Lytechinus pictus: one gene and its partner. The protein of the gene in region 2 interacts with the protein of the main gene of each other region in a biochemical or structural test. Links are inferred from orthologs where the notes say so. Each region holds a gene or a part of one and is shown on either strand. Other genes may lie near its edges.

Region 1 (15,957 bases), on a different chromosome or scaffold from region 2:
AGCAGGGGCGGGGGGGGGGGGGGGGGGGGGGGCAGCCCCCCACTTTTTTCCAAAACCATGTACAAAAACGTAAAAATTACCATATGATTGTGATTTTTTGCATGGCCAACCCCCCCCCCCCCCACTTTGAAAACCGTTCCGCGGCCCTAGCCTGTCAAGGTATGAGTTAGTTCTTTATAATGTTCATTCAACATGGTTCATTCAACATGGTGAGAACAGCGCTGGTCAACTAATAAGTAGATCGAACAGACAGAAAAGACTCCACTAAACTTTTTGACTGCCATTATACGGTTAGGTCTACATTGATACACAATGTAATCATATTGAGCTATGTTTCATAGTGTGACTTAAAAGGGATTAAAAAACCCAGAGTCTCGCGGGCCGGATTGAGAAGTTCCGTGGGCCGGATCCGGCCCGAGGGCCGTAGTTAGAGAACCCCTGCCCTACATGAACAAATTATTGATAATAAAGTTTGCGTGATGGAGTGTTATTTACATTTTGTTCTGTTATTTTACATTATTTGATTTATCTAAGATTTTTTATCTCAAATACTGAGAGTATAAGAAAATATTTCCTTGCTTTAGGGCAGATCTAGATATCAAAATAGACCATAAAACAGGAAGATTAATAACCACATACCTTGGGACTCTACATCCAGTGGGTTTCAATGAAGTAAGACTTGGCTTCTTGTTGAACAATTCATCCAAGCTCAGAGGTTTGGGGTGATGATATGGAATCTGTATTGTAGACTCTGTGTAAAAATCAATACCGGTATATCAAATACTTTGTTATTCGAGGGTCCAGTTTTTATAAATCTTCTGTTATCAACAACATTAGAATTATGGTATTGAAAACTCCTCGATTGGTTGGATTTGATCAGCTGTTGGCAAATTGGTCATGAATGAGTTTGCATTTGTTATTGATAACAAGCTCTATGAAACAGAACACTTCGCTTATCATTGATAAACAAATTCTATAATTCCATGGTAAGTTTGCTCTCTGCCAATAAAAAGGCAGAATTCAGAAGATTATCACAGTAGCTATTATCTGCAATTGACAGTTTTATGAAACATTGGAATGATAACCAATAAGCTTAAACTTGACATTTTGACTGGATTGGAAAGTTAATTAGTGGTGATATATGAACTTACCTCTGACAATTCTTTGAGATTCACTATGGATCTGCTGTAGTTCATCCTTGCCGATTCGTTTCCTCCTCATAGACTGAAATCAAAACAATTAAAATGTATAATTATCAACTGTGTATCATGCAACATATATCTAAGTGTATCGAGAATAGAATATTGAGATATGTAACAAATTTAAGAATCTGACCAAAACACCATTGCTATGTATTTAGAGTGAATGTAAATATTAAGACATTTATAATGTGATTCCACTTCAAAAAATTGTGCCACCATTATAAGCTAAGATTGTGAAAGTGATTTCATTTTTTAATGTTTCTTCCAAATCCCAATATCCATTTCTATATTTGGCTAGATCTATACATTTGAAACCGAGACGTAAAATCTCGAAACATAATATTGTAATTAGAAATAGAATGTTACAATATTAATTATAATACTACATAACTATTATACCATAATACTACATAACATGCCTATTGCAACCACCTCTGGTGGGTGGAGCCTTGAGATAAAAACCTTACCCTCTTATCCCCATTAGACTCTTCTTCTGGATCTTGAGGCGGTGGTGTTAATTGGAAAGCAATTTCTCCTTCCTCATCCTCGTCACTACTGCTATCATCACTGCTTCCTATAGTCCTTCCGCTTTTCTTTCTTTCTTTCTGCGTTTTTTGTTCACCATCATCATCAGAGTCATCGTTACTGCTATCACTTCCTTCATCGCTTTCACCACTGCTTTGTACATGCCTTCGAATCTTCTTCTTTTCTTTTGGTTTATCATCATCACTGCTCAGACCATCACTATCGTCGCTACTCCCTACAGAGCGACGAATATTCTTTTTTCGTTTGGGTTTATCCTCTTCATCATCATCACTCTGGCTATCGTTCTCATCACTACTTTGTACTCGTCTACGAATCTTCTTCTTTTCTTTGCGCTTGTCATTGTCCGATTCATTATCACTGTCATCTTGTTGTCTACCCTCCATTTGATCAGCATCTGCTTCCTGATCACTTGCTTCACTTTCTTCTTTTTCACTGTCAGACCCTAAATCTCCTGCAAAACAATCAGAACAGCACAAATAGTTATTACTTCCAGTGGAAGTGCTGATTAAAGATACAGAAGTTTGCGTTAGTCTTTCGTGTATAATCATTGTTAAATAACCTCCTTTTGGGACCTTAACCCTAAAAGGACTGGGCTATTTGAGACGTATTGAGGGCTGGGGGGGGCCATGATGGCCACCCTTCTGATCTCGGCCGCCTTTTGCGCGATCGCGCAGAAATTTGGCACGCACATTCTTTACTGCATAAACTACAAGCCAGTATAAAAGAAAAATTCTGAAAATAATTATTTTTATCTATTATGAATAAAATATGTAAATTTATTCGTGAAAACCATTATTTGCATATTTAACACCCAATTTCACTTCAAATTTTCTTTTTTTTCCAGATGTCATCTTTGTAAACAAAGTTAAAGGTTTCCACAAAGAAAAATTGCAAAAGCCAATTTTTTCCATATGTATTTCTTTGTTTTTGGAATTTCTTATGTATTTCTTTGTTTTTTCATCTTTTTTTCATTGTTTTTTTCAATGGAAATTATTACACACAATTTAACAACTAAATTAATAAGGCAGACCAATTAGAATGAAAAATAATCACCCTTTTATGAATTTCATCTCCCATAGACTTTGTACACAAAGTATAAAAATGAGCCATTTTCGGCCTGACATTGTCTCGTAACCCGTAGGACGCGAATTTGGTCTCAAAAGGTGCGCGAGACTTCAACAAAAAAAGTCATAAAACATTGCAGCGCTACCTTTTTGCATTTCAGAAATATTGCGCGAAGCATCAAGGGAGGGGCCATCATGGCCCCCCAGTCCTTTTAGGGTTAAATAGTAGGAAAGTCTCATTTTTCTGTATAGACACAAAATTTGAAGTATCCCTGAATAAATTAATACTACAAAATAATGTTCAAAACAACTGTTTTGTAATGTTGCATTTTGTATTGATTTAATATCAGAAAATGTAACTTTTATCTTTAATAATCTAACTTAAAAGCCTTATGGTCATGATCTTAAAATGAGTTAGAACAGAATAAAAAAATGGCCACCCAAGTATGTAATGTGAAAATCAAGGGCTAAAGGATTCTTGTAAGAATGCATAATTGCTGAGAAATGTGCCTCGGAATAGTTTACTAGATAGATGGTGCATAATAAATGCTGTGTTTATTATCAAATGAACAAAATAAGCATGTTACCACAAGTACATGTACATAGTGTGCAGGCATTTGTATCACTATGTTTAGTTCGTAGAACTAGATGTATGACGGTACACTTAAAATAAACCTTGGAATGTAGAGACTTTCTCATCAAAATACCGGTGTTGTTTAGCTGCAACTGTGCTTGTTTTAACTTTAACCAAGTTCATGTAGCCAAATGGGTTCAAGCATTTACCTTGATCTAAAATACTTGGTATTCTCTCTTCATCTTCATCATCACTCAGGATAAGCCGATGAGTTTTAGTGGGTCCCTTCTGTCTGGCTTTCATTCTGACTATCTCCTCCTCATCACTTTCATCATCATCTGCATCAAACAGGTCAGAGTTTATCAGAGGGTCTGGTGCCTACATCAGAAGATAGATAGGAATGAGAAAATTTCAAATCCTTCTGCTTAGTTCTCTGAAATATCACAAGACATGGACATGACATTGATTGCTATGTCTATGCACATCCAGTGTTCACCATGGAATCTTGTGTTAAGTAGACAAGAATGTCTAGCTTGTGTAGAGTATGGTCTTCACTCTTGTATTGATAAATAATAAATAAACTATGTACCTGTCTTGTGGTCAGGTTTCCTCATTTCTTCTACAAAGTAATGATTACAGTATCACTAAAAAATATTGCCTTTGAAATAAAACCAATGGAATATTGTGCTTCAATCATGCAAGATCATAATTTAACACTCCAAATATGTGAACAAAGTCTACTCCAAGTTTTGGTAAAGCCTCCCACTGTAGTATTTAAATTCATTACTTTATTGTGTGAATCATGATGTAAATGATATGAAGTTTGTGATTTTACATGAAAATTGATTTGTGTCTTTTCAGAACTGGAACACACTAAAATCCAAACTTTGAGCTTCTGAGAGCTGAACTATAGCTCAGTCGGTAGAGCGGGGGTTTCGGATTCCGGTGACCTGGGTTCGCACCGGCCAAGTGGTGCGCTAGTGCCCTTTGGTAAGGCATTTATCCTCATTACCAGGTCCCTCGGAGAGGACCTTAAGCCGTTGGTCCCCTGGTTGCTTGCTCACAGGTTTTCGACGTGCTTTCTTAGCAGTCAGGTAAAAAACCTCGGTATAATTTGTGTCTCAGTCTGAGTTCTGATTTTTACGGCCTACTAAAATTTATTCTCAACATACATGTAGCAAAAGTAAAATTTAGATCTAACTTCATAGATCTAACGTTGATATATAAAATCTTGAGTTTGGCAAAATATATATAGGCCTATATACCGTATATATAATATATCAGCGATCGCGAACACGCACCGCCACCTAGCCTGGAGGCGTCTGGGGAGTAAAAGTCATCTTACTCTACGTAGGCTTACTCCCCACTGACGCCTGGGACACCAAGGTATATTCACGCACGTACGGAAACAAAACCTGAAACTTTCGCCCCCGAGATTTCTACTTTCCCTCTAAAAGATCTAGCCCTAAAACATGTAGGGTTCAACTTCATTTCTGCGATATCGATTTTGTTTTTAAAGAAGAATTCATTAAAAAAACGAGAAAAATGTTATGAAAAGATGGGAAGAGCTTACGGCCGTGTTTACATCGCCATCTTGATTTCTTTGTCTTCCGCTTGGCGACAGCACGCAAATCGTGCTGTCGCCAAGCGGAAGACAAAGATTTAGAAATCAAGATGGTGACGTAAACACGGCCAGCGTTAGCTCTTCCCATCTTTTCATAACATTTTTCTCATTTTTTTAATGAATTTTTCTTAAAAAACGAAATCGATATCGCAGAAATGTTGGAAATGAATTGAACTTTGAAGTTGAACCCCATGTACATCTACAGTACATGTTTTAACAGTTAGGCCTTAGGGCTAACGTTAGATCTTTAATTAGGCTAGAGGGAAAGTAGAAATCTCGGTGGCGAAAGTTTCAGGTTTTGTGGCCGTACATGCGTGAATATACCTTGGTGTCCCAGGCGTCAGTGGGGAGTAAGCCTACGTAGAGTAGATGACTTTTACTCCCCAGAGGCCAGACGCCTCCAGGCTACCGCCACCGGTTAATGCAGCTCAGCCCAAACACACTCTGCACTGCGCCTGGCATGAACACTCGTACACAGCTCAGGCCCGCCCGCCTCGAAACGAACGGGGACGGTACGGCACACAACAACAGCAGCTTTCGCTAGCCTAAAGCCCTGCAGCCACAAATTTTTTCAACGCCTTTTCACTCACCCGTATTGGAGCTGATTCTACACCGAGCATGGCGAGTTTGTTGAGTAGATTAGCTTGAAGAATAACCTTTTTAAGCTTAAGGAATTCCAATGACTTTAACTGCAGTAGAAATATTGAAAAAGGAAAATGTCACGCAGTCGGATGGGTTTTTGTCGTACAATTTATTTCATGTTTTCGCGCTCCATATCTGAATTCTGCGCGCGCAATATTTACGGTAGTCTTGATTCAATTACGGTATGACAGTGTGACGTGGATGAGTATTATATTACTCAAGCAAAAACAAAAAACCCCAAAACGGGCAAAAAAAAACTTGAAATGAAATATTACCGGTATTTATTGTAATAAAAAAAATTGCCTTATTTTATTTCTTACCTAAATGATTTGTATATTTGGGTTGTTTCATCTATCAAAATTAAAAAGAATTGAATCATTACGAACGTTACGCTAATCTCGACCATAAAAGTCTGAATGAACAGTCAGTCCGCAAGCCCTGAAAAAGTGGTAGGCACTTATGATCCAAGTTTGAAAGGAGACTCGTAAAATGACGTCAGTCTCGCCGATGAATATTCATTAGATCGTGGTCGTGCGTGTTCAATACACACTGCGTGCAGGCATGCAGATAGTTATATGCGAGGAACTTTGGCTCCAGAGACAAGTTGTCAAATAACGTGTGTGTGTGTGCGTGTGTGTACCATCGGCTGGTAGTATGCCATGCTGTCTAAGACTTCAAACGCGTCGGAGAGAGTGCATGGCAATTCGGTAAAACGAAGTTTCCGATACAAAGAGATAATAAAATAACACTATGTACAGTACGCCCGGGGGTGCCACTTACATTGACGAGTGGATACCATGCGCGACCAAAAAAAACACGTAAAAAGGATGTCTTTTTCAAGAGAGGGCACGTTACGTACGTAACGTGATAAGGGTGTCAAAAACACAAAAATATTGAAAAAAGGGTATCTATTTCCAGTATACGTTGAGAGGCAAATGTCAGATCAGGGGAGGCAGGAGTACAATCAGGTTTTTTTTAAGGGAAGAATAGTGTAGAATAAAAGGTATTATATATACCCAAATGATCTAGGTGAGGGAAGTGAACAATGATGTTTTTTTAAAAAAAGAATGAATATACCTTACCTGAATATATATTATGGTGAAGCCAATTTAAAAGGAGGTGAGACAAGTTTCAATGGAGGTTTTTAAAAAGAATAAACTGTATTATGGTGAAGCCAGTTTAAAAGGAGGTGAGGCAAGTTTTAATGGAGGTTTTTAAAAAGAATAAACTGTATTATGGTGAAGCCAATTTAAAAGGAGGTGAGGCAAGTTTCAATGGAGGTTTTTAAAAAGAATAAACTGTACTACAAATTATGGTGAAGCCAATTTAAAAGGAGGTGAGGCAAGTTTCAATTGAGGTTTTTAAAAAGAATAAACTGTACTACAAATTTAAAAGGAGGCGAGCTAGCAACGTTTCAATGGAGGTTTTTAAAAAAGAATAAACTGTACTACAATTATGGTGAAGCCAATTCAAAAGGAGGTGAGGCAAGTTTCAATGGAGGTTTTAAAAAAGAATAAACTGTACTACAAATTATGCATGAAGCCAATTTAAAAGGAGGTGAGGCAAGTTTCAATGGAGGTTTTTAAAAAAGAATAAACTGTACTACAAATTATGGTGAAGCCAATTCAAAAGGAGGTGAGGCTAGTTTCAATGGAGGTTTAAAAAAATATACTGTATTATGGTGAAGCCAATTTAAAAGGAGGTGAGGCAATTAGTTTCAATTGAGGTTTTTTAAAAGAATAAACGTACTGTACTACAAATTTGAAAGGAGGTGAGGCAAGTTTCAATGGAGGTTTTTAAAAAGAATAAACTGTATTACAAGTTATGGTGAAGCCAATTTAAAAGGAGGTGAGGCAAGCCTCAATGGAGGTTTTTGAAAAGAATAAACTGTATTACAAGTTATGGTGAAGCCAATTTAAAAGGAGGTGAGACAAGTTTCAATGGAGGTTTTAAAAAAGAATAAACTGTATTATGGTGAAGCCAATTTAAAAGGAGGTGAGGCAAGTTTCAATTGAGGTTTTTAAAAAGAATAAACTGTATTATGGTGAAGCCAGTTTAAAAGGAGGTGAGGCAAGTTTTAATGGAGGTTTTTAAAAAGAATAAACTGTATTATGGTGAAGCCAGTTTAAAAGGAGGTGAGGCAAGTTTCAATGGAGGTTTTTAAAAAGAATAAACTGTATTATGGTGAAGCCAGTTTAAAAGGAGGTGAGGCAAGTTTCAATGGAGGTTTTTTAAAAGAATAAACTGTACTACAAATTTAAAAGGAGGCGACGCAAGTTTCAATAGAGGTTTTTAAAAAGAATAAACTGTACTACAAATTATGGTGAAGCCAATTTAAAAGGAGGTGAGGCAAGTTTTAATGGAGGTTTTAAAAAAAGAATAAACTGTACTACAAATTATGCATAAAGCCAATTTAAAAGGAGGTGAGGCTAGTTTCAATGGAGGTTTAAAAAAATATACTGTATTATGGTGAAGCCAATTTAAAAGGAGGTGAGGCAAGTTTCAATTGAGGTTTTTTAAAAGAATAAACTGTACTACAAATTTGAAAGGAGGTGAGGCAAGTTTCAATGGAGGTTTTTAAAAAGAATAAACTGTATTACAAGTTATGGTGAAGCCAATTTAAAAGAAGTGAGGCAAGCCTCAATGGAGGTTTTTGAAAAGAATAAACTGTATTACAAGTTATGGTGAAGCCAATTTAAAAGGAGGTGAGACAAGTTTCAATGGAGGTTTTAAAAAAGAATAAACTGTATTATGGTGAAGCCAATTTAAAAGGAGGTGAGGCAAGTTTCAATTGAGGTTTTTAAAAAGAATAAACTGTATTATGGTGAAGCCAGTTTAAAAGGAGGTGAGGCAAGTTTTAATGGAGGTTTTTAAAAAGAATAAACTGTATTATGGTGAAGCCAGTTTAAAAGCTAGAGGTGAGGCAAGTTTCAATGGAGGTTTTTTTAAAGAATAAACTGTACTACAAATTTAAAAGGAGGCGACGCAAGTTTCAATAGAGGTTTTTAAAAAGAATAAACTGTACTACAAATTATGGTGAAGCCAATTTAAAAGGAGGTGAGGCAAGTTTTAATGGAGGTTTTTAAAAAGAACAAGTGGAATGCCTCTGGCCGTCTCACCTGCATCACGCGATTCAATATAGCAGCAGTGCTGATTTTGAAAACTACTATAACTCGCACAAGATGTTCAGTGATACTTGGTTACTCTTATTTCCACGTTTTATGAACTAGACCAATACACTTATAGAGATATGATGGCAATTCAACAAATACCCCCAACGTGGCCAAAGTTCTTTGACCTTACATGACCTTTGACCTTGATCAAGTGACCTGAAACTCGCACAGGATGTTCAGTGATACTTGATTACTATTATGTCCAAGTTTTATGAACTAGACCAACACACTTTCAAATTTATGGCTGTAATTCAACAAATACCCCAATTTGGCCAAAGTTCATTGACCCTAAATGACCTTTGACCTTGATCATGTGACCTGAAACTTGCACAGGATGTTCAGTAATACTTGATTACTATTATGTCCAAGTTTCATGAATCAGATCCATAAACTTTCAAAGTTATGATGGTAATTCAACAGATACCCCCAATTCGGCCAAAGTTCATTGACCCTAAATGACCTTTGACCTTGGTCATGTGACGTGAAACTCATGCAGGATGTTCAGTGATACTTGATTAACCTTATGTATAAGTTTCATGAACTAGGTCCATATATTTTCTAAGTTATGATGACATTTCAAAAACTTAACCTTAGGTTAAGATTTTGATGTTGATTCCCCCAACATGGTCTAAGTTCATTGACCCTAAATGACCTTTGACCTTGGTCATGTGACATGAAACTCAGGCAGGATGTTCAGTAATACTTGACTAACCTTATGGCCGAGTTTCATGAACTAGGTCCATACACTTTCTAAGTTATGCTGTCATTTCAAAAACTTAACCTCAGGTTAAGATTTGGTGTTGACGCCGCCGCCGCCGCCGCCGTCGCCGCCGCCGTCGCCGTCGGAAAAGCGGCGCCTATAGTCTCACTCTGCTATGCAGGTGAGACAATAAACTGTACTAAGAATTATGGTGAAGCCAATTTAAAAGGAAGTGAGGCAAGTTTCAATGGAGGTTTTTAAAAAGAATAAACTGTATTATGGTGAAGCCAATTTAAAAGGAGGTGAGACAAGTTTCAATGGAGGTTTTAAAAAAGAATAAACTGTATTATGGTGAAGCCAATTTAAAAGGAGGTGAGGCAAGTTTCAATGGAGGTTTTAAAAAATAAACTGTATTATGGTGAAGCCAATTTAAAAGGAGGTGAGGCAAGTTTCAATTGAGGTTTTTTAAAAGAATAAACTGTACTACAAATTTGAAAGGAGGTGAGGCAAGTTTCAATGGACGTTTTTAAAAAGAATAAACTGTACTACAAATTTAAAAGGAGGCGAGGCAAGTTTCAATGGAGGTTTTTAAAAAATAATAAACTGTACTACAAATTATGGTGAAGCCAATTTAAAAGGAGGTGAGGCAAGTTTCAATTGAGGTTTTTAAAAAGAATAAACTGTATTATGGTGAAGCCAGTTTAAAAGGAGGTGAGGCAAGTTTTAATGGAGGTTTTTAAAAAGAATAAACTGTATTATGGTGAAGCCAGTTTAAAAGGAGGTGAGGCAAGTTTCAATGGAGGTTTTTTTAAATTACCTCTTGTGTGAGTGAAGATTTTTAGTCAAATTTCTATTGTCAGCAAGGTCATGTTAAAAATGTAAATATATAATATATTCTTGGTCTAGCAAAGGCAGTGCCATAAATTCTGACTGCATGTAGTTGAGAATCCATCTAGTTAGTCATAAAACATCAACGGCTAATTGTATCCATTCAACTAATTAGGGTTTCTTATTCCTACGATACTTGCTAATGTTAAATCATGGAGAATCACCTGTGTAAATAATGATACATTGTTTGTTAGCATTAATCGGCATTGAGGCTGATAAATTTCTTTGATAACTATTTGATGCAAGATTATATGACCTTTGTGTTTTATTCAGTATTTTTAGACTGTCTCATATCATTTTGAACATAATTTGCGACCATTTTTGCTGCCCACTCAACAGTCTTTGTAGATGTTTGTGCAAAAACTTGATTAGAATGCATGCCGTTATCACACAGTACTTGCTAACTTTTATTATCTTTTATCATGATCCTAGGCCTGCCAGTACTGAAAATAAACGTATTTTAAACTGTATTATAGCGTATATTTTTATTTACTCAAGCTGCAGTTGCTTTCCATGATCATGAATTGGTTTTATAATACTTGCTGTTAACTAATATAATTGTCACTTGTTTTTTCTAACAGCGAGAATATATTGCTATATGTGTCCAGCCACCCCAATACCAACAATAAATACATTGATTTAAAGATTCTCATTGATCTTGAGCGATCACATCCTAAGCTGTAAAATGATTTATCTTGTTAATATTGATCAATAATATCCCTCGCTAGTACTTCATTGAATGCAGAAGAAGTTTGGTGAGAGCTTCAACAAATAAGAGAACAAGATTTGGGGTTCACTTAAGCATGCGATGTGTAATATGTAGTTCAACTACTTAGCAGTGAGCAAAACACGGATATCAAAGTCTTGTATTTTGTCTTCAACTTTTACAACCTCACATTTTGACAGTATGAAGAAATTTCTTTTTTTTTTCGGATAAACCAATATTCTAAATATGCGTTTGGAAAACTGAATTACTATTTTGTTTATTTTCTACGAACCTTCCCTGGCAACTTATTGTTGATATTTGGGTGGCTGGCCACATTTGTTTTGAGAAAAAATATCAAAGAGTATATGAAAAAAAGATTTATGTAAAAAAGCTTGCCTAGCTGTTGGTATTTTCTTCTATTGTACTTTGTCATGTAACTCTGGTAGATTTCATTTCGTTACACAAAATGGGGTTCAGTATTCAGAAAAACCATTAACCTTGCCTCAACCACAACAGTACTTGCCAAACTGAATAAATCAACATTATATCAAGCTGTGTAGAAGAACTTAATGATCATGTAGATACCATTAAGTGCATACATATATAATGTCTTTCAAGCTGTATGACAAAAATATTCTTTTCCATCCAACATCAGCTTCTACTATTTTTTAAGGTTAGTTTTTATTGTCATGTTGGCAAATTGTGAAATAGTTCATGTTGAAATATGTTGTATTACCTGTCATGCATTTGTAATGTTATTTTTTTAGAATATATTCTGTCATCATTTTCAGTACATAAAAGTTTATTCAATGTATGCCTTTACCAAAGTTGGCCATAAGCACAGTGGGTACCAACTATCACTGAAGACAACACAACAATTACTCAAAATATATGCATAGCCTTATGAATGTACAAGTCAATAAAATCTACTATGACTACATAGCTTTTTTTTGTGCAACACAGTCATATTTCATTTGGATCAATTCAAAATTGAGTGGTGTTTTGGGGGTAATGCTATGGTAACTGCAGTTCTGTTGTCCTCTGACAGTTGGTGTTGTAAGGATGTGATTGGCAGTGTGTGGACGTCATGTTATAAGAGAAAAAAGAAAGTTAAAGTGAGAGTGTTGGCTTTGAAATGGACTCAACCTATGAAAGTTAAAGTTTGTGCTGCAGAAACTGGTGTGGTAGTGGGATGATAATGATGATGAGGAACAGGGCCGGTATTCAATGCTACTCTTAAAGCCACAATTTCAAGTATATTTTACTCAGTATTTTGCAAAAGTAAAATACTTATCCATCTTTGGTATTCAATTGCATTTTTTTTTGGCTAAATATTTTGCTTAAATGTAAGTCAGCCATCTACTAGACTTAAGTCTACATATACAAAAATGATACGCACAGAAATACATTCACACATTTGGCACTATTTGGCTCAAAATTTATAACATCACAATGGGTATTTAATAGTATTTAGTTCAATTTGGATAAGGTAAATTCTGAGATCTGATCTGCATACAAGTTTAAGCATTTTGATAAGCCAGCCAAATTGCTAAGTAAAATACTTACAAAATCAAAACTTAGAATTTAATAGGCGGCCGAGGTATTATTTTCTTCCAGAGGACATGTACAGATTTCTTGTTGACAAAGGATGACATGATGATTATTTTGCAAATATGGCTTATTAAAAAATATATTATGTATATTCCATTTCAGTGACAATTGCATTTTTGGGGAGGGGATATTACGTATTTGGGAATGGAAAAGTTCAAAATTAATGCAAACTTAACCTATTTACGCAGGGGGGGGGGCTCTGAGCTCTGCGATTTAAAAAAAAAAGTCTTTTGCATGTTTTGAGACCAGTTTTGCGAAGCCCGGGTACTGGGTTCTGAAAATTACCAAACAATTTGTAAGTGCATATCAGACAAAAATGGCTCAAAATTGTGATATTTGTGTACCACGTCAATGGAATATGCGTTTTCAACCAAAATTCATGAATGCCTAATTGTTTTTAGTTTTGTTGAACTAAACTGATTTATTTCATGCTGTTACGAGAGTCTGAGCATCGTTGAAAAAAAACAATGCAATACAAAGGTAAAAACACAAGAAATACATTATCGAAGAACACCACAAAGAGTTTCTAAACCAAAAATTAGAACATTTGGAGCTTTATTTAGGGAGTTAGAGGAATAGGTATAGTATACTAATTATGCACAAATGAGCATAATCAATTAATAGCAATTTGCATGAAATAAATAACTACACAATTTTGTGGATTATTAAAAGCAATTGCGATCTTTTTCTTCACTATTCATTGTTTTAGAAACCTCATTGTAGACTTGCCTCATGCACCTCTCAAGATGGCTTCATCATTTGAATTATATTCTACACTTATCATTCTTTAAAAAAAATCATTGTAGACATGCCTCACCTCCTCTCAAATTGCCTTTACCATAATTTGTAATACAGTTTATTCTTTTTAAAAACCTCTATTGAAACTTGCGTCGCCTCCTTTTAAATTTGTAGTACAGTTTATTCTTTTTTAAAAACCTCCATTGAAACTTGCCTCACCTCCTTTTAAACTGGCTTCACCATAATTTGTAGTACAGTTTATTCTTTTTAAAAACCTCTATTGAAACTTGCGTCGCCTCCTTTTAAATTTGTAGTACAGTTTATTCTTTTTTAAAAACCTCCATTGAAACTTGCCTCACCTCCTTTTAAACTGGCTTCACCATAATTTGTAGTACAGTTTATTCTTTTTAAAAACCTCCATTGAAACTTGCCTCACCTCCTTTCAAATTTGTAGTACAGTTTATTCTTTTAAAAAACCTCAATTGAAACTTGCCTCACCTCCTTTTAAATTGGCTTCACCATAATACAGTTTATTTTTTAAACCTCCATTGAAACTAGCCTCACCTCCTTTTGAATTGGCTTGTACGTAGTACAGTTTATTCTTTTTTAAAAACCTCCATTGAAACTTGCCTCACCTCCTTTTAAATTGGCTTCACCATAATTTGTAGTACAGTTTATTCTTTTTTTAAAACCTCCATTGAAACTTTCCTCACCTCCTTTTGAATTGGCTTCACCATAATTTGTAGTACAGTTTATTCTTTTTTAAAAACCTCCATTGAAACTTGCCTCGCCTCCTTTTAAATTTGTAGTCCAGTTTATTCTTTTTAAAAACCTCAATTGAAACTTGCCTCACCTCCTTTTAAATTGGCTTCACCATAATTTGTAGTACAGTTTATTCTTTTTAAAAACCTCCATTGAAACTTGCCTCACCTCCTTTTAAATTGGCTTCACCATAATACAGTTTATTCTTTTTAAAAACCTCCATTAAAACTTGCCTCACCTCCTTTTAAATTGGCTTCACCATAATACAGTTTATTCTTTTTTAAATTGAACCTCCATTGAAACTTGTCTCACCTCCTTTTAAATTGGCTTCACCATAATATTCAGGTAAGGTATATTCATTCTTTTTTTAAAAAACATCATTGTTCACTTCCCTCACCTAGATCATTTGGGTATATATAATACCTTTTATTCTACACTATTCTTCCCTTAAAAAAAACCTGATTGTACTCCTGCCTCCCCTGATCTGACATTTGCCTCTCAACGTACTGGAAATAGATACCCTTTTTTCAATATTTTTGTGTTTTTGACACCCTTATCACGTTACGTACGTAACGTGCCCTCTCTTGAAAAAGACATCCTTTTTACGTGTTTTTTTGGTCGCGCATGGTATCCACTCGTCAATGTAAGTGGCACCCCCGGGCGTACTGTACATAGTGTTATTTTATTATCTCTTTGTATCGGAAACTTCGTTTTACCGAATTGCCATGCACTCTCTCCGACGCGTTTGAAGTCTTAGACAGCATGGCATACTACCAGCCGATGGTACACACACGCACACACACACACGTTATTTGACAACTTGTCTCTGGAGCCAAAGTTCCTCGCATATAACTATCTGCATGCCTGCACGCAGTGTGTATTGAACACGCACGACCACGATCTAATGAATATTCATCGGCGAGACTGACGTCATTTTACGAGTCTCCTTTCAAACTTGGATCATAAGTGCCTACCCAAAATAGCTTCTTTTATCCAAGTGATATTCACGACTAGAGAGGTTTTTGCATAGTTAATGAGCTTGGTGCGAACCAAAACACCTCTTTTTATTCGGCCATTGCTGCTCTAAATATTGACCAAATGTCATGTTTTTGGTATCTTTGTAAAGAAGAAGAATCATTCTTTTAGGTCATGTGTTTGGATTTAAAAAAAAATGTTGTAATATAGGAAAAACTTTTGATCTAAAACATGAAACAAAATATTTTTTTTCATGCAACAAAAGTTGCTATTTTCACACTTAATTTCTGTTTAGGCACAAATGATTTTTAGATCATGATAAAGCTGAAGATCTAAGCTTTAATATGATATAATTTTTATAAGAAGATGTATTTTAGATGGGTCAGCAGCCAGCTTTTAATAGGCCAAGTACAATTTGCAGCTCAAAAACAAGAATACTGCGCTCTGATTGGTCATATAGAGACCACACACCCACGCAAATTCCAATGTTCCCCTCACTGGGCCTCTGCAAGGTCACACTCACCATGTGTTAATCTCTTCAAATTACCCGCGCCTGTTTGTTTTGAAAACAGTATTCAGCCAATTAGAACTCTGGATTTTATGTTACTCAGAAATTTCAGAAATCTCGTCTTGCATCTTGATGGAAAAAGCTTGCTGCTGACCCATCTAAAAGATGCCACATATATCAAGAGTGACATTGTAAGAAAGTATAGAGTTTGAGCTTTCTGATGATATAAATAATGTTGGTGCCT
Region 2 (16,095 bases):
TAAAGTATTAGCAATTTGTTTTGTTCTGTTTGCTTCTTTATTCACCCAAGACAAATTAAAGTTCTTAGTTTTGTTGAAATTTAACAATATTAATTCAGTTAAAGCAGTGGTTTCACTGAATGAAAAACACTAAAACTTCTTCATTGATATGAATATGCTAAAAGGTTAACTAAGAATCTAAGACAAAGCCAAGATCTTCTTGGAAATGATAGCTTGTGCCGCTGGGAGAACAGTTTTCAAAACTGAAGTGGCTACCCTGTGTAAAATATGACATTTATTATTACTTTCACCAACGGTAATCATTTGCTTACTATTATTCCATATTTAATAAGACCCGCAATTACATTCCGTGATCAGAAAAAGAGTGGGGGTGGGGTAAAGCCATTGTTTACATACAAAGGCTCAGCCCTCCTAAGCTTTGTCCAATCAAACCATTCCCGTAGCCACTGGATCTGAACTTTCTACGTGCGAAGAAAAATAAATCTGTTAAGTTTAATTGTAATGGCATACCCTATTTTGACCAAGCAGCTGAGTTCGCTGAGGATACGATCAGGGTGGCTTGTTGGGATGATGTGCTTCAGAGCAAACTCCTGTGAAGTGTCAGCAGCCTTCTTCAAAGTGGCTCGATACACAGAACTGAAAGTACCTGCAAAAAGAATGGGAATAAGAAACTCCAGTTTTCCATTGGATGACTTACAACACTCCCTCATAATGCTCCCCATTCCTGTCTTCCTGTGTAAAAGTAAATTTTATTGAATCTAATATGAAATGCAAAATGCTATGTATCAATTTTAGCATAACGTTTTGGTACCACCCCCATTTTTTTTCTGTCCCCAAAGTTCCCAGTTTCTAGGGAAAAGTTTTAACACAAAACTCTGTAAATTAGTCTTTACCATATACTGACCATGTGCTACTACACACCTATAGGGATGGCAATTTATTATTGAATGATAAAATTGGCAAGTTATGCGAATGAATTCTATTCACTTGCAGGAATAAAACATACAGCATTTCAATACATGGACACTTCTTTCTAAGGAGCCTCTTTAATATCACTTTACAGCTACATTTGTGTAATAGAAATGAAATAAAACAAATGGGAATCTTTTATGAGCAAGTGAGCCCCTCCCCCACCCTTTTAACAGTTATGACCACCTGTCACTTAGCCCAGTGAACCATACCGAACTATCTGACAATCACTTCTTTATCAACTCAATGTCATATTCTCAAGCATTTCGTTGAAAGTACGGACATGAATATTTAAGTCCACAGTCCAATCCGTACATGCTTTCCAAGATAAGCAATGATCAATGTTGAGGATTCATGTACCTGCATGTCTTTGCTATTGTTTGCAAGTCTAAAGGCTACATAATGATCATGGAGAGAAGTTTGCATATTTCCATGTCTACACCATGCCATGATTATCTTTTAATTATTTCAATATAATGATTTGCAAAATATATTCAGTATTTTTGCCTTCATTTTTACCGTTGCCATTATCTCTACAGATTTGTTAGACATTACAACAAAAGTTTGTTAATCTATTAAGTTTATGAGCTGTCGACTCTGTTATATTCATTGATAATGGACTGATACATTAAACAGGAGATGTTGGCATGAATTTAAAGCACTAACTTCTAATGAGAAAGGAGATCACAGTTTGTTTTGTCAATCTCACAAACATTATAGAGACATATACAAAATGATGGGGGAAAAAATCAAATAAACTCATCAACTCCCTGTAGTAGAAAAAGAGTGTGATTTTTTTCTTGTTTGTAATTCCTGACACCCTCATGCTTCAATGGATAAAATATCAAGACAAAAACCCCCAAAGTCCTCAGTGCAACAAATATTTATCCTGTGAATAATACTAAATAATAAACAAGGTTGTTGACTCTGTTATATTAATTGATATTGAACTGGCACATGAATAGGTGATATAACTATAACCATGAATTTCAAGCACTAAATCCTAATAAGATAGTCCTGAGATTGCAATCTTTTTTTCAATCTCCCAAACCTTACAGAGACATACATGTATGTACATGTAGTCCTAAACAAAATAGTGGGGGGGGGGGGATCAGATGTGCATGTACCTCAAATTAGTGAGTTTTCCCCTGAGCACTTTCTGTATTATTTTCCTGACTCATTCTGGTTCATATTAAGTACTGCATGATTCAATAAATAAACATAAAAATAAAAAAAATCTCTGGGAATATATGCTTACCTTCTCCTATTTTATCAACCACCGTGAACAACTCATCAATCTTAGGAACAGCCTTCAGCATGGAGCGGATGTCTTCCCGGACTTTCTCTACAATATGAAATAAAAAGAGATACTTCAATTACATGTTCTGGTTCAGCTACATTATAAAGCACTTCAAGGCATTTAAATTATATTCATATTTCCATTCATTGAATTAATTATGTCTATAATATTTAAATATGAACAAGATGGCAAAATACACACCTGTATTGGTCAGATTAGCTTTCTCACAGTGACTTGGCAATATTTATTGTCATGCAGTGGCTGAGACGAGACTAGCGGTCAATGAAGAGAGTTTAATAGAGACATGGGTGAATGTGCGATTGAGCGACTTCAGTCGCAAGGCCTTTTGGACTCTGGCGTAGATCTATGTGAATGTATGAATTATCCATGAGCATACTGATCAATGCGCCAATTAGCACTGTAGGCACTGAAAACGTCATGGGACCGGGTACGTTCGCTTCTGTGTTACAGGATTGATTGATCTGAAAGATACACTTGCTGATTGGCCGCATATATACCTCTAGTCTAGGTCGCGACCATGAGTCAGAAACAATGGTTAACATAAGAAATCCAAGTCAAGTTCCTAAAGGCCCTATGGTAGAGCTCGCATTCATGTGGAGCGTTGTGGCCCAGTGGATTAGTCTTCGGACTTTGAAACAGAGGGTCGTGGGTTCGAATCCCAGCCATGGCGTAATTTCCTTCAGCAAGAAACTGATCCACAATGTGCTGCACTCAACCCAGGTGAGGTAAATGGGTACCGGTAGGAAGTAATTCCTTAAAAAGCTGTGTGCGCTATGAACGCCTAGCTTAGCCGGGTAATATAGGAGCGCCTTCAGCAACTAACAAGGTGGATATGTGCGCAATATAAATACCCTATTATTATCCAGCCTTTCGCGATTAGTCTTTTTTCAGTTGTAGTAGGCATTTGATATAAACATAACAGACATACTGTATTGCCTGTCTAAAGGCTAAGTACATGAACGTTTAATATTTGGCTATTCACTGCTGAATGATACGCGCCATATAAGCTAATAAACAACATGTACAAAGATGCTACAATTCGGATGCTTGAGCTGAAACACAGCTAGGCTTCCTTGGCCTCAGACCTGCCAACCTCTGGGAATAAAAAATTGTATTCTATGATAAAAAAGTGTATTTTTCCCCAAAAAAGTGTATTTCATAATAAAATGCGTGGCGCAGTCGCTCATCGCGGCGCTCAAGCTGCATGCAAGCTAAAATGCGCACTGCTCTTGCAGATGAAAAAAAAAATTTAAACATGCGTATATCTCACCCTGGTTTTAACAAAATGATTGACAAAAAAACAAGTTACCTGAAATTACATTGATCTAATAACCATATTTGTGTAAGTTTTATGAAATAGAGACATATAGAGATAATTTTTCTCAATAAATTATGATTTTGTAAAAAAAAAAATATATATATATATATTTTTACAAAAACATATTTTTTAAAGAAAAAACGTACTGCCGTATTTTGGTTGCAAAACGTACTAAATACGCCAAAAACGTAATGGTTGGCAGGTCTGCGGCCTGTTTCATGAAGAGTTTTGACAAATATGGCAACTTCCATGTTAACATGGCTCAGCAACCATTCACAATCATAGTTTCCATTTTTGTCCGTTTTTTTTAGATTGTTCTTTGGGCCTGATGTTGCCATCATAAAATGATGAAAAGTGACCCATGACTGCCACATAATAAACCATAATTAAAGTAAAAGTACAAGGTTTTACATCAAGTTACATGTTAATGAATGTGTATTAACACTATTTTTTAATCTGTCCATGTTTTATAAAGGGAATGTGTTGGCGGGAAGTGAATTCCACAGCCGAGCCATCCTTGGTATACCGGTATATGAAGATTGATGAAGAGAAGTGTTTGAATTTGGGACAGTGACTATACGTAGGGGTCAATATTTATTGTATTTACAATAATTGTAAGTTGTTATGAAATGGGCCTTCTTGGCTCCCTTTAGATCTGTGTACACATATAATCAAGAATTATTTCAGACCACACTTCTTTTTTTTAAATATTTTCCTATTATTCATATCCTTGAAATATTTTGCACTGGCTATATAATATCATCCAAGAAATTAACAAGGCGATCAATGATATATCAGGTTCTCTTCAGTGACAACTGACAAATTAGGCTGATTTAAACCTATATGTACACTGTATGACTGGAATGGAAATATATACCAGTAATATCCATAACAGTCTCCCCCACCCCCTCCTTAAAAATATTTTTAAAAACACACTCATAACAACCTGAAAATAAATTTAAGAAAAAAACATGCATAAAAATCCAAACACCAACTTACCACCAGTGTTATGATGAACATTGAAAATGCTATAATTATATATTTTTTTATGTCTTATGTTATAAATTAGATTTTGCTTCAAATCATCTTGAAACTTGTTTGCATTGTGCCAGCACTGCTTACCAGTCATTCTCATTGGGCCTTTGAAAGACGATCTCTTCCGTTTCTTGCAAGTCACCATAACTGTCGGTGTCATCGGACGAAGATCAGAATCTTTCTCCTCAATCTCTCCTGCATCAATGACAACATCGAGGGCGCTGGTGGAACTGGAGTTATTTTCCCGGCCGAGCATGGTGCTGTGAAACAAGCCACAAGGAAAAAAAAGTCTGGATATTATCACAATGACCCTGGCTGTTTCATGTTTTATCTTATTTTTGCTACATGTACTTCATGCTTCAATACCAGAGATTGTCTTCCATTATTAGAGAGAGAGTCTCCTTATCAGCCCCAGGGGCCTGTTGCAGAAAGAGTTGCGTTTAAACGCAAGTCAAAATATCAAGCGCAAGTCCCGAATACGGGTGCCTCATTGGCTGAAAATCAAGTTGCACAAGATTTTTTTAGTTGCGTTTTATCGCAACTCTTTCTGCAACGGGCCCCTGGTGGGTGTTTTGTAAAGCTGTTCGGAAGTTAAGAGCGACTTTAAGAACAACTGGTGAACCTTTCTTATGCGCTCAATAATCACCAATGAACATTTAATAATGAATATCATTTACCAGAAATGATCACCAGACATTCTTAAACAGTAAACTCTTAACTTACGAACGGCTTTATGAAATGGCCCCCAGCACCAACTAACATGTAGATCTATTGATCAAAATAAGAGATATGTTGAGGTTGAATACATGTACATGTACATGTAGGTCTAACACTAGTAGTCTTCACTTAGGGGAGAGTGGGGTTGATTGAGGCCCCAGAGTAAATACATGTAAGCAGGGTGCTACATAAGCACTTGCCCGATTGCCCGGGGCAAGTAAAAGTTAGAGTCGGGCAAGTGTTTTGAAGTAAAGACCAAAACTACTTGCCCGGATTGGGCAAGCAAAATTCACAGTAGAAAGCAAAACTCTCACAGTAGAATGACCAAAATTAGGGTCGATATATGATATTGACTGATTTTTTTAAACTCTAATTTTGGTCATGGCAGGCAAGATAAAATCACTCTGGAAAAAGAAATGCAATAACAAAGTAGATCAGTTCATGTCAAAAGAGAGAAAAAGGTCAATGGTTTTAATATAAAAACACAAAACTTTCTTTTGAAGAGGTAAAACTTTTTTTTCCAAGGATTTTTTCGGGCAAGTAAAATAGATTTTGGGCAAGAATCCAACTGTTTGAAAATTTACTTGCCCGACCAGGCAAGCGCTTCTTTAGTTGTGTAGCACCCTGAATAAGGCCCCCATTTGGTTTTTAGCTCACTGCTCAAGTTTACCAGCATCAATGGGATTGCTGTTTGTATGGTATTTGAGACAATTCCTTGGCACATATCTTGAGGATAGATAACATCTCATAGCCCAGTGCACATGGCCAGGATGAGAACAAACCCAGCAGCACCTCAAAATCAAAATTTTGAAAGCATTGCTACTTTAGAGAATAAGAGAGGCAAGTAGTAGTACTGTACCTATTAACTTTTTTTTCTTAATTTAAATTTGAAAGGCATTACTGTAGTAAAATTCAACACTTTCCCCTTTTTTTCTGACGTGAAGCTTATGAACTTAATATGCCCAATGGGGCAAATGGGTCATTCCATGTCAAATCATCAAATAATCTGCTGTCATCTCTCAGATTTTTGTAAAACTTTGGGAAACAATTGGGACTCATGAAAAATGGCTAGAACTCAAATATTTTCACTAACAGCCTCTCAATTAGTGAGATACAAGCTAACAAACTTTGGACTAATTAGCACAACATCGCGAATTCAAATGGCCAAATCTCTAAAAGTACATGTATAGCACCTAGAGAGCTGGTTTTTGGTGTCATTTTAAAGGTATTTTCATGCCCTATAAATTTGTCTGGGCAACATTTTCCTACCTCCAACTACAAAACAGTTATTACAAAATATAAACTTCAATTGTGAATTTAAAAAAAAATGTATCCTTCAAATTGCCTCAAATTCATCCCACAGGTACCTTATGATGTCAAGAAGCTTCTACATAAGTTTTGTGATGGGCATTCCAATAGTTTGAGATATGAGCAATAATGTACATAAAGGATGGCATATAGGTTCGAAAATCAGCATTTGTCATGTATTATTAGTGGTGGGTTGATGTTTCAGATCACAGAGAGGACCAACTCAAAAGATGCAGCTTGTGCTCCTGAGCATTTTTACACCTTTTTCTGAAAAATCGGTTGAACCTTGAGGGGGTACCGCCCAAAAAAAATAACGATTTGGGGCAAAAAGGTTGTTGACCCCAACCCATTTTCGTCAAATTTTTATATCTCAGCTTCTGCATAAATTATTTTAATGATTTTGTGTTAATTTCTATGTTAATTTGGACAAGGAATTCATTTCTAACAATAAAAAGATGTACATGAATAGGGTCTAAATGCTGTCTTTCTAGTTACATGTAAATTCGACCCTTACTTAATTTGGGATGGGGTCAATTTGACCCCCCCCCTGGCCTTGATGAATTTCGTCACACAACCGCAATAATTTTCTACATCTATTGTCAAGCCTTGCACATCTTCTGAGACCAAATTTGTTGATGCCCGGATACACGGTTTCGAAATCACGCAACATTTTCTAAGTGCATGTCAGACCCAAAATTGGACTACGAAAAAAAGTACGAGAAATAAAAAAATTCAAAATGTTTAAAAACTCCTCAAAACAGACGGCTGCCATCTGTCTAGACTTGAAAAGAGGGTAAGTCCTACACAGGTAAACCCCAACTCCATACCAATTTACAATGGATCTATTTTAGAATAGAACGTTAGTTAGTCAGAAAGCTAGTGCACTTTCGCATCATTCAAAGAAATTAGGTTGGGGCCTCCTACACAACCCGGGGCTCGCGGGCACGGCGGCTGCGCTGGGGCCGCTCACACTCCGCATGGATGCGAAAGTGCACAAGGATAGTCGACACATCGATCTCGCATCTCATTTGGTGGCAAGATCCGATCCGTTTAAAAAATGTAACAATATAATGATAAACTACTACATGCCACGACAAAACAATTATAATTTTTAGAAGGTCGGTCTGAACTTACGTTTGACGGTTTTCCAAAAACTGCACAATGGACTCTCCAAATGCTACCGAACGAATTTCCCGCGCTGATAAACCGGAAGCTGAAGTAACGCCGCGCGTGCCAGCTCAGCGCGCTCATAGCTACCGGTACTTCATTCGTATAACCAGTCAAATGAAACTTGCAGTGGCGTTCGCAGGTGTTTAACACCCCCCCCCCCTTAATTTTGTTCTATACCCAACCCCATTCACTTTTTTTTGAAGACTTTTTTTTTTGCTTGTCAACATTTCATTCAGCTTGAACCCCCCATCGCTTTAAAAAAAATAATGCATACGCTACTCGGAAACTTGTAATATCAATATCAACATGATCTCTATAGTGACCAAGGAATTTTGAAATAAGATGTTTTGTTTTTAATTGAAATAAATCAAAGTCAATTACAAATAATTACAAAATGATTAAAAAGTGATTAGGCCTACAAATCACATTATTGTTTGTGTTTATTTCATATGTGTAACCTTTTCACATAAAACACTTCCCAATCTGTTGGTCTATTTTGTTACATGTTGTACTACATGTAGGTCTATATGCTCCCCGTACAATAGAGCTCCTTGTTTTTTTCTTCTTAAATTAGCTCGATGTCTTTTTTTCAACATACTACTCGTTAAGGGGAGCGTTTCATGAAAGGACTTGAATTGTCGGACGATTTATCCGATAACTTCCCATTTTATCCGACAGTTACCATAGTAAAAGTGATTCTCAGCCAATCAAAATCAAGGAAATTTTTCAGATCTGAAAACTTGTTGAACGAAAATGTTGATGAAACGTAACTGGTCCCCAAAACGAGAGTCATCATAAATCCCGGGTCATAAATGTAAATAAGATTTAGAAATAAATCTTTGACTAGCCATCCATAATCATAAATTGGAGAAAATGTCTGAAGAATATTTTTCTTCTTAAAGGACAAGTCCACCCCAACAAAAAGTTGATTTGATTAAAAAGAGAAAAATCCTACGAGGATAACACTGAAAATTTCATCAAAATTGGATTTAAAATAAGAAAGTTATGACATTTTTAAGTTTCACTTAATATTTCACATAATATGAACATCCTGGTCGGTATGCAAATGAGGGAACTGATGACATCTCTCACTCACTTTTTCTTCTGTATTTTATTATTTGAAATATGAAATATTCTAATTTTCTCCTCATTGTCCTGTGAAATAAAGTTTTAGTTCTCACTGAACATGTGGAGTTACCATTGCTTAACATTATATGGTTCAGTCAATTAAGTTGGTCCTTATTGTCAAATCTGTAAAAAGAAAATATTGTATAATTCAAACAATAAAAAACAAAAGAAATAGTGTGTGAGGGACATCATCGATTCTCTCATATGCATGTGGGTAAATTGTGCATATAACTATTTTGTGAAAAATAAGTGAAATTTCAAAATGTTATCGTTATTATGAATATTCAATTGTATGTGACTGTATGCTGACTTGAAATAATATTTTGCACACGGTACTTCAGACCTTATTTTTAAGTAAAAAAAAGGTTTGAATGAAGTAAAAGAAAATCAAATGTCTGAACAGATAGGCCTAAATGCCCCCCCCCCCCCCAAGCCGTGTTCGCGTATGAAAAATCTAAATTGGAAAAAAGAAAACGCGAAGTCATGCTATTTGGGATGATCCATAAATCCATTAGTTTATTGAATTCCAATGCTACTTTATGTTTAATTCACTCGGATACTTTGCTTGTTCAAGGTTGCTATATAATATAAAGAAAAGGTATTCATTATTAAATGTGTTATTCCATGTATAAAATGTGTCATATAATTTCAAAGAAAACTTGTTAGGGTATTTTTCCCCCAAGCTTTTTCCACGGGGTCATATTCTGGCGACAACTTGTTTAGGGGCCAAAATGTGTAAATAAATCCCGCGTTTAGGGTGTTATTTTGCACACAGAGAAAAACTCGTTTATGGGGTGTTTGGAAATAATTTGGCCACGCGTGTGTACAGCAATACATTTGACTGCCCCCCCCCCGGCTATATGGTTCCCCATTTGCATTTTCGTCATGTATTTCTTTTCCATTTTTTCCCGTTTTTCTTTTACCATTTCTCATGTGTTCCTTTTATTTCATCTAATGTTTTTCCTTGATCTGTGATAGAAGAGTCATTAGTATTCACAGATGAAAATATAATTCAAAACATTATTCATGTTAATTAATATATATTTGATTCCAGATTGACTTGATACAACAAAACTTTAAGAAAGTATTTTTTTCTTGCCATGTGAAAAATGTTAGTTAAGTCTGTCGTCGCACGTGCTTAGTATGCAATATAGATTTTTGTATTAAAATTCACGCTTTTATCAGTATGTAATAATTCATAAGTCGTTTTATATTTTGCATATACCACTTTTTAAAATGTACATGTATATTGTCTGTGTTTCTCCTAATTTCATTCATTATTTTCAGTCCCATTGTTCAACCTTGACCTATACATTTTAAAGAGAGGAGATTAAATTATAAATTAAAACATATTGTAGGCCTGTGCTTTGTGAAAATAAAAAAAGGTTCTCTTCAAATTTTCCATTAATAAATATTTACACACAGAAAGAATCTTTGGAATCTTTGATGTCGAGACTATAATCATTTTCTCCCTAAACGGAAGTGGTGCATGTGAAATAAATACAGAATAGCCTAGGGGATGAGAGTACATGAAGTATCTGTATTTAAGGTTTATCAATTAATGAAAGAAAAGTATTTGCATGTTTTTATCAAGACACAATTAGTGATTACTGATAACTGATAATTGAACATTTTAGTTCTTTATTGATACTCCGAATCACAGACGATACCATTCAACTTGTACCAATGTTTATTGATTAATATCCATCATGCAATATGGTTCTCATGTTATGTTGCGTTGTGCCGGATCCCTAAGCAACGATGATGTAATTGCATATGGGACTTCCATGTTGACTTTGTATGAAATTTAATAAAAATAAAGCATTTAGCATGTGGTTTGTAAATAGCTGGTTGATTTCATTTTGAATATCTGATACTACCTTGATACCTTGATTTGAAAGTGATTCGAGTACCTTGGATTGCTTGGAACTTCGGCATTTTCCTATATACTCACGCAAAACAGTTTCTGGAAATTTCTGAATTCATATAATAACGATCTTTCCTTTAAAAATACAATATGGTTCTTTTCACTATTAGTTCCTTCTAAACAACCTTACTTAACACAAGATGACTTCGTAGCACTGGATTTGACACCGACCAAACTATTTTGTTCTATATATATTATGTTCAAGTTGAGTTTAATAAATAAAGAGTCATTATGACATTTATGTTCTCAGAGTGACCAAGTATTTCATTTTTGAAAATCGAAAATCCAATTAATCATGAATAAGGCTACAGCACCCTCTACTTCCCCGCTCTTTCATATGCATAAAATGTTTTTAAACATTATACCTTTGATATCAAACAAATAAGAGCGTTTTCATGGTTATAATGAATCAAAGGAAACCATAACGCATTTTTAAAGGGAAATACTGTTGTGAATTTAGAAATTTCCAGGACCTATTTTGTGTGAGTAGGAATACCACAATCATGACAATAGCTAGTTATATCCAAGCAATCCAAGGTACCCAAGTCACTTTCATATCATAGGCGGATCAAAGGGGCGACACGGCGTGCGACCCTCCTCATCATGTTTGCGCAAAGAAAGAGGAAAAGGGCAAATACAATAGAAATGATCGAAGTAGAGGAGAAAAAAAGAAAGAAAGGTGAATAAACGAAGGGGATGGAATAGTTGGAAAATACAAAAAGTTGTATGTTATAAAAGTTTTATTCTCTCTTCGAGTTCGCATCGCAGGCCTACTCAAGGTGTTTAAATGGCAATATGTTCAAATTATTCTAGCGATACGTCTTCATTATTTGTCTTATAGCGAGATAATTGCAAAAACTGTCTGCATACAAAAAAAATCCAGCTCGCGCGCTGCGCGCTCGCATCAATTGTGAATCCAACATATTTGCCTAAAGTGTTTTAATGTTTTAATTGGGGGGGGGGGGGGGTCGTATCGAAATACAATTCGCCCAGGCTAGAACAGGTGAAGCTATAATGATAATAATAAAACATGGTATTTGTATAGCCGCAAATACCTACCTTAATTGATTTGTTATTATATGAGTTCCAGGCGCTCCTATAATATACTCCGGCTAAGTTTGGCTACCGATTTTGATGCTCGAAAGCTTTTTGAGTTTCCTGCTTCAATTTCAATCGTAATTTGGCAAATAAGATTGTACTGAAAAGTCATATAAAGTAACATAAAGATTAACTGGGTTGAGTGCGCAGCATTTTATCAATTTCTTGCTGAAGGAATTAAGTAATGACCGTGGCGTATATAGGATTGAACCAACCATCAGTCACCACCCTCTGTTTCAAAGCTAGTCCGCGGAAACTATAATCCACTGGGCCGCATACAATAGACTCGCCGGGAAAATATTATTGTTTAGGGAAACAGGGGCGGGTAGGATATGGGACCTACCTGCCCCCACTTCCTTTGACGAGTGGATACCACGCGTGCCGTGACCAAAGAATCGCGTAAAAGGGATCTTTTTCAAGATAGAGCATGCACGTTGTATACGTAACGTGGGTGTCAAAACCGGTAAAATAATGAAAAAAGGGTATTCTTTATAGGAAAGCTACGTTTTGAAGATCCAATTTGCGAGGGTATAAAACGACTGAATAATCCAAGGATATGGGGGATATGTACTTTTTGCATCAGCACTACTTATTTATTTATTTATTCATTTATTTATTCATTTCGTTTTATTTATACAGGGTATAGCCCCATCAGCATCTTGTACTTATTTACAATATAACAAACAAACAAATTACATAAGGAAATAACAAACAGAACATCCAAAATAATCATAAGTGAATACATGAAAAAAGGATGATGGTATATGAGTACAATGTAGGGAAATAACGTTAATTCATCTAGATTTCAATCAGCATTACAATAGAGGAAATTCAAATAGTTATAAGAAATTAAAAAAATTAAAAAAACATGGCTCCCCCGGCCAGTCCCCCTACATTTCAACTATTTAAATTCAGGTAAATCAATGTGATTGCTACTCAATGTGAATATATAGTACATACGAAAAGTTACTTGTGGAAACGAAAATATGCAAATCATCAATTATTTTCTATGAAATTAACGGAGAAACTCATAATTATTTTATATGTGACAATCTTTAACATGTGTTGCATGTAATTAAGAAAATACGTACACTATTACTACCTGTTTGTGTCCTTATACTAGGTACGTCCTGTGGGAGATATAGGTGGTCCCGGGAAACCTATACTCATAATCATGATAATTGTATGTTAATTGTTTGTTTGCTTCTCCTATGTAATTGTAACTCAAATGTACATAATACTCATAATATAGAAAAAGGATTGCTGGGGCTGTTAAATAACTTTCGCTGTAGGCTTACTTGTTTAGGGGGTCACAAAGTAAGGAAATACTTGTCAAGCGTACCGGTTGTTTCCAATACTTGTAAAGGGTAGAGTTTCACACACCCGATACTTGTTAAGGGGTACATTTTCAGAACATGGAAAATACCTGTTTTGGGTACTTTTCGATACCCGGTCCCGCGACTATCCACTCGTTGATATGGAAGTGCCCCCCCCCTGGGGGACCCAGGACCAAAATCCAGTTGAAACCAATTAGAGCAAAACCAATTGAAACCAGTTGGCCAACTGGTTTCAATAGGGAAATTGGAACAACTGGAACCAATTGAAACCAGTTGCCAACTGGTTCCAGTTAAAACCAATTGGGCAACTGGAACCAGTTGGCAATTGGTTTCAATTGGTTCCAGTTGAAACCAATTAAGCAACCAGTTGGCAACTGGTTTCAATTGGTTCCAGTTGTTCCAATTTCCCTATTAAAACCAGTTGAATCCAATTGGAGGCAACTGGTTTCAATTGGTTCCAGTTGAAACCAATTGGAGGCAACTGGTTTCAACTGGAACCAGTTGAAACTAATTGGTTTCCAACTGGATCCAATTGGAAATTCCAGTTGGAATGACTTAATTAGTTACAAATTAATTAGAATTTGCACTAACTATATTGCTCATGCCATCAAAGAAGCAGTGCTATATGTTTATTAATACCAATGTAAAGGGCATTGATAAAATAGACATTCTTAATGTATAAAAATTTATATGAAAGATCTTCAAATATATGTATTTGTATTTGATGTAATTTGGTAACAGTTAGTGGTGTACTGATTATCTTATAATCTGTTTTAATTATAATCTATAACATTTGTGAACATGGTTTTCACTGCTAAGCATTCTAAACACTTATCTGAAACAAGTATGGTACTTGAATTAGAAAAAAATTAAATAGATACATTTTAAATGATGATGAATCACATAAAACATTAATCTGTGCACACTGGCAGATAATATGCAAATTAACTGGTTTCAATTGGAACCAGTTGGGTAACTGGAAAATTTTCAATTGGATACCAATTGGAAGTCATTTCCAGTTACCCAACTGGATCCAGTTAGGATTTCCAGTTACCCAACAGGATCCAATTAGAATTAATTTCCAGTTAATCACCTTTCCAGTTAGAAGTCATCTCCATTTACCCAATTGGTTCCAGTTAGGATTTCCAGTTACCCAACTGGTTCCAGTTAGAAATAATTTCCAGTTGGAAGTCATTTCCAGTTACCTAACTGGTTCCAGTTAGGATTTCCAGTTACCCAACTGGTTCCAGTTAGAAATCATTTCCAGTTAGAAGTCATTTCCAGTTACCCAACTGGTTCCAGTTAGGATTTCCAGTTACCCAACTGGTTCCAGACTTCCAGTTAGAAATCATTTCCAGTTAGAAGTCATTTCCAGTTACCCAACTGGTTCCAGTTAGGATTTCCAGTTACTTAACTGGTTCCAGTTAGAAATCATTTCCAGTTGGAAGTCATTTCCAGTTACCCAACTGGTTCCAGTTAGGATTTTCAGTTACCCAACTGGTTCCAGTCAGAAATCATTTCCAGTTAGAAGTCATTTCCAGTTACCCAACTGGTTCCAGTTAGGATTTCCAGTTACCCAACTGGTTCCAGTTAGAAATCATTTCCAGTTGGAAGTCATTTCCAGTTACCCAACTGGTTCCAGTTAGGATTTCCAGTTGCCCAACTGGTTTCAATTGGTTTCAATTGGAAATTGTTATATTCCAGTTAAAACCAATTGAAACCAGTTGAAACCAATTGAAACCAATTGAAACCAGTTGGAAAGGCCAACTGGTTTCAATTGGATTTTGGTCCTGGGGACCTACACAAAAAAAATCTGCATGGTAAAGAAACAAAATGAATAATAATAATAAAAAAAAAACAATTGGTCAGGATTTCTTTTTAATTTTCATTGGATTTTCTTTACGTTTCCGTTTTTACTAATCATTTTTATTTCATTGTCATTATTGGCTGAAAAGTGATCGATATATTAAATGCAGTCTATTAAGATAAATAATTCCAAAAGCAAGCCAATGATGGGGACACTGGCGTAAATCCCGGGGGGGATGGGGGGATATATCCCCCCACTTTTCGAGGAGGGGGGGATGGCCTGTACAAACATCCCCCCCCCCCCACTTTTTACGAAAGAAATGAAAAAAAAATCACAAGAGATAATTGTTTTATTGGTGAAAATTCTTCCTGAAATACCGCTTAACAAATAAAACAATATTATTGAATCATAAAATGCAAATAAAGAGCCAGTTCACCATTTCCAAACGAAATACTTATGTCCTTATTATAACATATTGAAGAGAAACTCCCGTTTCTTCCAATTCATCAATGTCGGGGTCTATGTGAAGGGATCAAGATGGAATGTCAATGTAATCTCTAATAAAACCATTAAACCATCATGAGGTAAAAAAGATAATAATATTGGAGGGGTATTTGCCATATGGACATACAGTGGCGTAACTACGGGGGGGGGGGACATGGGGGGCACGTGCCCCCCCCCCCATCGGCTGACCAAAAAAAAACGGGGAAAAGGGGAAAAGGAGAAAAGAGGGAGAAAGGAAGAGAAGCGTATAGTGGGAAAGAAGAAAATATTATTCATTATAATGTTATATTATAATTATGTTATGTTACATTACATAAGAAACATTTTTATCATAACTTCATGAAACATAATTTGCCCAGGGCCTGGTGCTTGCATTGTCTGTTAACGAGATAAATATTCTGTTGTACTGAAACATCCCGTTTTCAAGTCAATATAAACCAAATATATTTCCTAGCA

What was found.
Region 1: of the proteins of cell division cycle 7-related protein kinase-like (region 2) and claspin-like, one has a biochemical effect on the other in vitro, tested with the Homo sapiens proteins (3 studies listed by BioGRID, with this or other methods). The link is inferred for Lytechinus pictus from reciprocal best matches to the Homo sapiens genes CDC7 and CLSPN.

Annotation. Positions count from the first base shown.
Region 1 is NC_087251.1:29,434,316-29,450,272, forward strand, and holds the start of claspin-like, read right to left. Parts: upstream 5,845-15,957; 5' UTR 5,631-5,844; coding exon 5,601-5,630; intron 3,765-5,600; coding exon 3,596-3,764; intron 2,200-3,595; coding exon 1,670-2,199; intron 1,225-1,669; coding exon 1,152-1,224; intron 752-1,151; coding exon 640-751; intron 1-639.
Region 2 is NC_087259.1:19,798,042-19,814,136, forward strand, and holds the start of cell division cycle 7-related protein kinase-like, read right to left. Parts: upstream 7,888-16,095; 5' UTR 7,803-7,887; intron 4,904-7,802; 5' UTR 4,900-4,903; coding exon 4,731-4,899; intron 2,315-4,730; coding exon 2,228-2,314; intron 647-2,227; coding exon 511-646; intron 1-510. UniProt on the Homo sapiens protein: Kinase involved in initiation of DNA replication. Phosphorylates critical substrates that regulate the G1/S phase transition and initiation of DNA replication, such as MCM proteins and CLASPIN.